Mus musculus: one gene and its partner. The protein of the gene in region 1 interacts with the protein of each later gene in a pairwise test. Links are inferred from orthologs where the notes say so. Each region holds a gene or a part of one and is shown on either strand. Other genes may lie near its edges.

Region 1 (3,558 bases):
GGCAGATTTGAATGATATCAGAGTTGCTGCTCCTATGCTTAGGAACAGGGCAGTGGGGTTTTCCTGAGCACAGTAAGCCCTAGAGTAGCTGAGTAGGTCTGACACTCCAGATTGCTACCAACTAACTAGCAAGCAAGAAGCACATGCATGGTGGATGCACTGGTCCCAGGGCAGTGGAGTGGAGTAGCAAGAGCTTTCAATATGCTTCTTAGAATTGCCTGTTCTTTCTGGAATTTTTTATTTAATAGTTTTGTGCCATGGTTGACCATAGGTAACTAATGAAAGCCATGGAAAGTGGAACCATGAATGATGGGCAGGTGGCTGTCCTGAGAGAATGTAAGACACTGACCTCCCATTACAGAGGCAGGGCACCCCACCCGGAGCTTGGTGTGGTTTTTCCTTCTGCTCAAGTTTTTACTGGAGTAATAAAAACATTTTGTCCTCTCCAGTCTTGTGCAAGGTCTATTGTTCTATGCATGTTGTGACGTTTTCATCAGTTCTTGATTCTTTTATGAAGATGATCACATGGTCTGCAGATGATGAGATATGTGTATTCCTCTGCCACCCATCATTTTTTTCCTCTGGAAGAATTGCAATACCCTGGACACAAGGGTCTGAACCTTGGCGCTGGAGTGGGAAGAACACCTTGCTGCTCAGGCTAAGGGACTTTCTCCCCACATCTGAGTTTCTCCATTCGTTCTTTTTTTTAATCCTCAGTGTTTTTATCTTAAACTGTGGCCGGGCAGTGGTGGCACACACCTTTAATCCCAGCACTCCGGAGGCAGAGGCAGGTGGATCTCTGTGAATTTGAGGCCAGCCTGGTCTATAAAGCAAGTTCTAGGATAGCCAAGGCCGTACAAAGAAACCCTGTCTTGAAAAATAAAGGGAGAGAAAGAGACAGAGAAAGGAAGAAAGAAGAAAATAAAGGAAACTGGGTAGTTTTTTTGTTTTTTTGTTTTTTGTTTTGTCAGTTTGTTTCTCAACTCTACTGAACTGTGTTCATTGGCAGCCTAGTAGATGAATTGCCATATTCTTTTTTTTTTTTCCATTTTTTATTAGGTATTTAGCTCATTTACATTTCCAATGCTATACCAAAAGTCCCCCATACCCACCCACTCCCCCTTTTTGGCCCTGGCGTTCCCCTGTACTGGGGCAGATAAAGTTTGCGTGTCCAATGGGCCTCTCTTTCCAGTGATGGCCGACTAGGCCATCTTTTGATGAATTGCCATATTCTTAACCTGTCACATGACTTCAGACCTCAGGAATATTTTAAAGATTTTATTTTATTTAAAAATGTGTGGTGTGTATGCTGTGTCTGCATATATGTGTGAGTATAGGTGCCTAAAGAGTCCAGAAGAGTGTGTTGGATCAGAGTCCAGAAGAGTGTGTTGGGTCAGAGTCCAGAAGAGTGTGTTGGGTCAGAGTCCAGAAGAGTGTGTTGGGTCAGAGTCCAGAAGAGTGTGTTGGATCAGAGTCCAGAAGAGTGTGTTGGATCAGAGTCCAGAAGAGTGTGTTGGGTCAGAGTCCAGAAGAGTGTGTTGGGTCAGAGTCCAGAAGAGTGTGTTGGGTCAGAGTCCAGAAGAGTGTGTTGGGTCAGAGTCCAGAAGAGTGTGTTGGGTCAGAGTCCAGAAGAGTGTGTTGGGTCAGAGTCCGTTAGAGAGTGTTGGGTCCCCTGGACCTGGGCTGTGAGCATCCACTGTTAATGCTGGAGACCAACGTCAGCTCCTCCGCCATAGCAGGAGGCTCCCTCTTACCTGCTGAGCCACCTCTCCAGGGATGGTTTTTAGTAACACATTGAGGCCATCTCTGAAGTGCTGGTGGCAGGTGCTGCCTTTGCACATTGGAGGGGCCCCAGCTCAGCTGAAAGATTGACTGGGGTCAACTCCACTTTGCTCCTGATGATGGACAGGACAAAGGTCCCCTGCTATTGCCAGATGTGACCTAGTCCCCTTTGAAAGCCAAAACTGGTGCTAACTGATTTCTAGAGTGGGTGGAGCTGGTGAGATCTGTGCCCGTCCTCCTACCTTCATGACCACCTGTGTCTTCTCTCCCCAGAACGTGCTGGCCAAAGCCCTCTATGACAATGTTGCTGAATCCCCGGATGAGCTCTCCTTCCGAAAGGGTGACATCATGACAGTGCTCGAGCGGGACACTCAGGGCCTGGATGGCTGGTGGCTCTGCTCACTGCATGGGCGCCAGGGCATTGTGCCTGGTAACCGCCTCAAGATTCTGGTTGGCATGTATGATAAGAAGCCAGTAGGACCTGGACCAGGCCCACCTGCCACCCCACCCCAGCCCCAGCCCAGCCTTCCCCAGGGCGTCCATGCTCCGGTACCTCCAGCTTCCCAGTACAGTCCCATGCTCCCCACTGCGTACCAGCCCCAGTCTGACAATGTGTACCTGGTACCCACTCCCAGCAAGACTCAGCAAGGTCTCTACCAAGCCCCTGGGCCCAACCCACAGTTCCAGTCACCCCCAGCCAAACAGACGTCCACATTCTCCAAGCAAACACCTCATCACTCATTTCCCAGCCCAGCCACGGACCTTTACCAGGTGCCCCCAGGGCCTGGAAGTCCAGCCCAGGACATTTATCAGGTGCCACCTTCCGCTGGCATAGGGCATGACATCTACCAAGTTCCTCCATCTCTGGACACTCGCGGATGGGAGGGAACAAAGCCACCGGCAAAGGTAAGGCCAACCTGGTAGAGCTGGAACCCCCTGGGGTCAGCCTAGGGACCTGGCCACCACAGTGCCCACACTCTAGTATCATTATGTATTTGGTCTGAGGTCCAGGAGGGAGGTATCTGGACAAATGTCTCCATTTATTTGATGCAGGTGGGTGAGTAGGGACACCAAGGTGGCCATAGAGGAGGAGGAAGTCTTCAGTAGGCTGCCCTGAAATGGAAAAGGTTAGTCACAGGCTACAAGACAGTCTCTCTCAGGGCCTGATAGCTGAACCTGAAGGGGAGGAGCTCGGGAGGAGGAGCCTGCACAGCCACATTGAGGTCAGCTTACTCTGGCGTGAGTGGAAATATGATGTGAACATAAAGCCTGTGGGTGGGCCAGGAAAAGCCTCAGCATGACAGCACAGGGAGAGCTGAGAAGAGCAAGGCATCTCCTCTTGGAAATTGCATCAGAGGCTGGGACCAGAGAGACTGCCCACTTCCTAAGGAGCTGTCTTGAGGGTAGTTATGTCACTCGGTTGCCTTTGTCCCACCCAGCTGCCTGGGAGGCGAGGTGTGAACCTTGTCTGGTGTATGTCACTTAAAGGGACTAAATGAGAACCGAGGATCATGCCCCAGAGGCTCTGGTAGAGGCAGCCGACTGTGGTGGGCACAGCAGCACATGCTCAGCTAAGGCAGTTTCGTGTTCTGATGATGTCTCGTCCAGAGCCACCTATGTCTGCTGAGACATTGGCCTCGTGCATGCTCAGTTATGGCACTGAGCCTTTGTCTTCAAAGCCACAGAGGGCCAAGGTGAAAACTTAACTGATACCAGCTAGAAAGCAGGTAGTATCGCCCCATGCCTGCCCACAGAGACGCTCGGCATCTAACTGGC
Region 2 (4,284 bases), on another chromosome or scaffold:
CTCGTCTCATTGCTTAAGTGCAGCATCCGGCTATGTTCATCCTTTTCTAAGTCACTTCTAGCATCCTGCTCTAAACATGTAGGTGCCCTATGCCCTTGCTCTCTACTACTACTACCTGTTTGTATGTCCTGTGTGTCCCTAGCTTTGTAGTGGACCATTCCCCTGGACATTTCTTTTCCTTCTACCCTCCTACTTAACTATATGAAGTTCCCTCTGATAAGTTATTTCTCCACCGGTGAAATGAGCCAATTCAAGCCAGATTAGTGAGTTCAATGACCCAAAGGACCAAGGCCAGAGAAATGACAGTAGGAAGAGAGAAGTTGGGGAGGGGAAAGAGAAAGAGAAAGGTTGCCGGTAGAGGGAGAGACCAAAACCTCTGGATTACTTAGGGAAGAGCCTCAGGGGGGAAGGTCAGACCAGCACCTGGGCTGTAAAGTTTAAGGGTCAGGGTATGTTCGATAAGGGCTGAGGGATGCTGGAAGAATCTGGAGACCCGGTCTGCTTTGATATGTAAAATACGCACTTCAGTTCCTTCCCAGGTTTCCCTGAAGTAAGTTCAGTGACCAGTGTTCTTGGAGAACAAGGCAGGGGTTTCGTGGTCCCTGGTTTCCCCGTCCGAAACCAAATACTCTCCTCCCCCCCCATCCCCCCACCAGAAAAGTCTTCCATGGACACGGTACTTTGCCCATTGAAATTGGGAGTCAGGAGTCACAATAATAGATACCTTGGCAATAGTATACCAGCTCTATCCAGTGGTGAGCTTGGACCATCACCATTCTTAAATCCAAGGTTGCTGTCGAGTTTGGGTATTGGATTTAGAGGGCTGTCTCCTGAGAGTGAAAAGAAAACTGGGGCTCTTGAGAAATCTATTTGCCCGCAGGCTTGTCCCACATGGCAGAATCAGCACCCCCAAAGAATTGAGGATTTACCACATGAAAATTTTCGAGAGACACTTCAGCAATACCCCCAAATGGCAAGATTTTAAAACCGTCTCTGGGCCAAGTGTGATAGCACATACGTTTAAGCCCAGTACTAGGGAGGCAGAGAGGCCCGCGGATTTCTGTGAATTCAGGGCTACACCATGAGACTAACAATAAAACCACCTTCAGAGTGAACGTGCAGCGAAATCGAGTCCCACAAATGCCAAGGGAAAGCTCTCATAGCTAAGGTTTTCCATACTAGAACTATTTTTGAAGATTAGTTTCGCAGACCCGGCTTCAGAAAGCTGTGTAGAACAGAGCACCGCACGGTGTGAGGTCGTGATAGTTATGAGACCTGCAGTCAGGGACTCCCGGGGACCTCTACTACTATCCCTAGGAATCCAGAGGAAAGGAAAGGACTTTTTTTTTTTTTTTTTTTTTTTTTTGCAAAGCCTAAACCGACCGTTTAGTGCAACCTGTGGCACGGGGTTGTGGCGCCCGCTGATAGCGTCATCTTGCTGAGCCCTAGCTTTGGTTTCCCTGACAACCGGCGCGGTCCCGCCGGCGGCGGCTAGGCCGATGCTCGCCCGGCGGCCGCGGGACCCGCTGCAGGCGCTGAGGCGCCGCGGGCAGGAGCTGAAGCTGCAGGTAGGTCCGGGGTAGAGGGTCCCACATCCCAGCTCCTCACCGGGAGCCAAGCGCCGGGTTCTAACCCGGGGCCCCCGCCGTAGATAAAACCTCCAGAAAGCCTTGCGGGTCAACTAAGAATTCGGTCTAACGACTCACCAACCCTCAACACTCCTCATCCCTCAGGCCCTTGTCTAAACTAGCCAGACCCACCCAGCCCAGCGCCCCTCTCCTTTGAAATTCATCACTTTCTCAAAGTGTAACAGGTGTCAACGTATAGTCTTAATAAACTAACCAAGGACAGATTAGTAATTTCAGAAAAGTTAATTTCAAAGATGATCAAACACAAAAGATCACAAAGATTGTAAGTCACAACGCACAGTGCATGGAAGACGTGATGAAACAGGCGATGTATAAGCTATAGTGTATGAGCTACAGCATTTCTGGACAGCAGTTTGACAAGATATAGCAAACATTGATCCTCCTAGGCTGGTTGATACATTTCCAGGAATCTACCACTTGTAATAATTTTCAATTTGGGCAGAGATGCTTATTATAATAAAAGAAACTGGATATGAATAAGTGATCAATATTAGAGGGTGGATAAACTAACCATAAATTTATTATTGTTCCATAGGGCTCCTCAGTTCTTGTCTTGAGGAAAGAGTCTTAGTGGCAGGATACAAAACTTAAAACAGAAGTTTATATAGCAAAGCAAAGCGTACCCTCCAGAGAGACAGGAGTGGGCTGCAGGAGCCGGAGGAGCCTGGGAGGTCTCCCAATGTACATTTTAAACAAGTTTTAATCGATATTGACATGAGTGTGTATCCCTCTGTTGGTGATCTTGAAGTACCCATGTATGGGGACAGCAAATGTCAAAATTACAACGTAAGCAATATAATGAAGTGGAGTCTTTTGAGGATGCAGCCCTTTTATACAAGTGTGACAACTGAGTGTTCTTGCCTCCTTAGTTCTAACAGGAACAATGTAACTTCAGCTTCAAGAGTGTTTAACCACAAAGGACTGTCAGGAGACACAGCTACCAAGACAGGGAGGTGGTTTTCCTAGGTGATGTCATTTGTAATTCCTTACCTACCAGTATCATCTGTTGGGATCTGATGGTACTATGAAGAGATTTTTGCTAGAGCTTTTGGTGTTAGGGGGTAAAGAATTGTGGTAAGACATCAAGTTAGAAAAGGCGTGTAAGGACGTGGCTCCGTGGTTGAGAGCACTGGCTTCTCTTCCAGAGGTCACTAGTACAGTTCCCAGCACCCACATGGTGGCTCATAGTTGTCTAACTCCTGGGGCCCTGATGCCTGATTCTGGCCTCCAGGCACCAGGCCAGCATGTGATGCACAGACATGCAGGCAAGCAAAGTATTCATATACATATAAAAGAATGCAAAGTGCAATACATACTATTTCAATAATATTTGTTTTACATCGTGTATATAAAAAGATGTAGGGGGAAATCAGGGCGGGCTAGAGTGTACAGCAAACTGCAAATGATTCTTGTTTGCCTTTATGTGTTTTTTTTTTCTCAAGACACTGAATTCCTATTACTCTTAAGCATAGCCACAGGGAAAATTATGTAATTATAATCTCAAAAAAAAAGAGGTAACAAATAGCCGTTACTGGATTGTTCATTTGTTTTTCTGAAATTCTTTTTTTTTTCCATTTTTTATTAGGTATTTAGCTCATTTACATTTCCAATGCTATACCAAAAGTTCCCCATACCCACCCACCCCCACTCCCCTACCCACCCACTCCCCCTTTTTGGCCCTGGCGTTCCCCTGTACTGGGGCATATAAAGTTTGCAAGTCCAATGGGCCTCTCTTTGCAGTGATGGCCGACTAGGCCATCTTTTGATACATATGCAGCTAGAGACAAGAGCTCCGGGGTACTGCTTAGTTCATATTGTTGTTCCACCTATAGGGTTGCAGTTCCCTTTAGTTCCTTGGGTGCTTTCTCTAGTTCCTCCATTGGGGGCCCTGTGATCCATTCAATAGCTGACTGTGTTTTCTGAAATTCTTAATTTATCTTAGACAGGCTCCAACTATGTGGCTCTGACTAGTCTTGCACTTAATAAGTGGACCAGTTTGGCCTTGAGCTCACAGAGATCCTCCTGCATGCTGGCATTAAAGGTATGGACCACCATGCCCAGCTAGTTCACTTTTTAAATATGTGATCTAGCACCACATATTTTTTTCCACTAAATAACTTATTTAATAATCTTTAACAGATTAAGAGATTTCCTAGGCCAGGCATGGTGGCACAACGCCTTTAATCCCAGCACTTGGGAGGCAGAGGCCAGCTTGGTCTACAGAGTGAGTTCCAGGACAGCCAGGGCTATACAGAGAAACCCTGTCTCGAAAAACAGAGAGAGAGAGAGAGAGAGAGAGAGAGAGAGAGAGAGAGAGAGAGAGAGAGATGTTTATATGTTATCCAGTTTTGGATTTTTGTTTTAAAAATACAAAGTTTTGTGTTTTCATCATAAATAAGTGATACTTTTGAGACGCTAGATATGATTAACCTGGATTTAAATCATTAAATATGCTTACTTGTATCCAAACATCATCCTTAAATATGTACTGTTTCTACTATTGAGGTGGTGGGATCTAGGGGAGTGGAGCCAATCTATGAGGTGGACGACAGAGGGGAGGCGCAGAGGCAGGAGAGACAGAGTGGGTCAGTGAGGGAAAGTGGGCATAGAGTTAATTCTGGGTGACAGTGATTGG

Evidence for each region.
Region 2: the proteins of Bcar1 (region 1) and Nphp1 interact in a two-hybrid assay, tested with the Homo sapiens proteins (2 studies listed by BioGRID). The link is inferred for Mus musculus from reciprocal best matches to the Homo sapiens genes BCAR1 and NPHP1.

What each region holds. Positions count from the first base shown.
Region 1 is NC_000074.6:111,719,829-111,723,386, reverse strand, and holds part of Bcar1 (breast cancer anti-estrogen resistance protein 1), read left to right. Parts: intron 1-2,055; coding exon 2,056-2,688; intron 2,689-3,558. UniProt on the Homo sapiens protein: Docking protein which plays a central coordinating role for tyrosine kinase-based signaling related to cell adhesion. Implicated in induction of cell migration and cell branching. Involved in the BCAR3-mediated inhibition of TGFB signaling.
Region 2 is NC_000068.7:127,786,070-127,790,353, reverse strand, and holds the start of Nphp1 (nephrocystin-1), read left to right. Parts: upstream 1-1,462; 5' UTR 1,463-1,499; coding exon 1,500-1,568; intron 1,569-4,284. UniProt on the Homo sapiens protein: Together with BCAR1 it may play a role in the control of epithelial cell polarity. Involved in the organization of apical junctions in kidney cells together with NPHP4 and RPGRIP1L/NPHP8. Does not seem to be strictly required for ciliogenesis.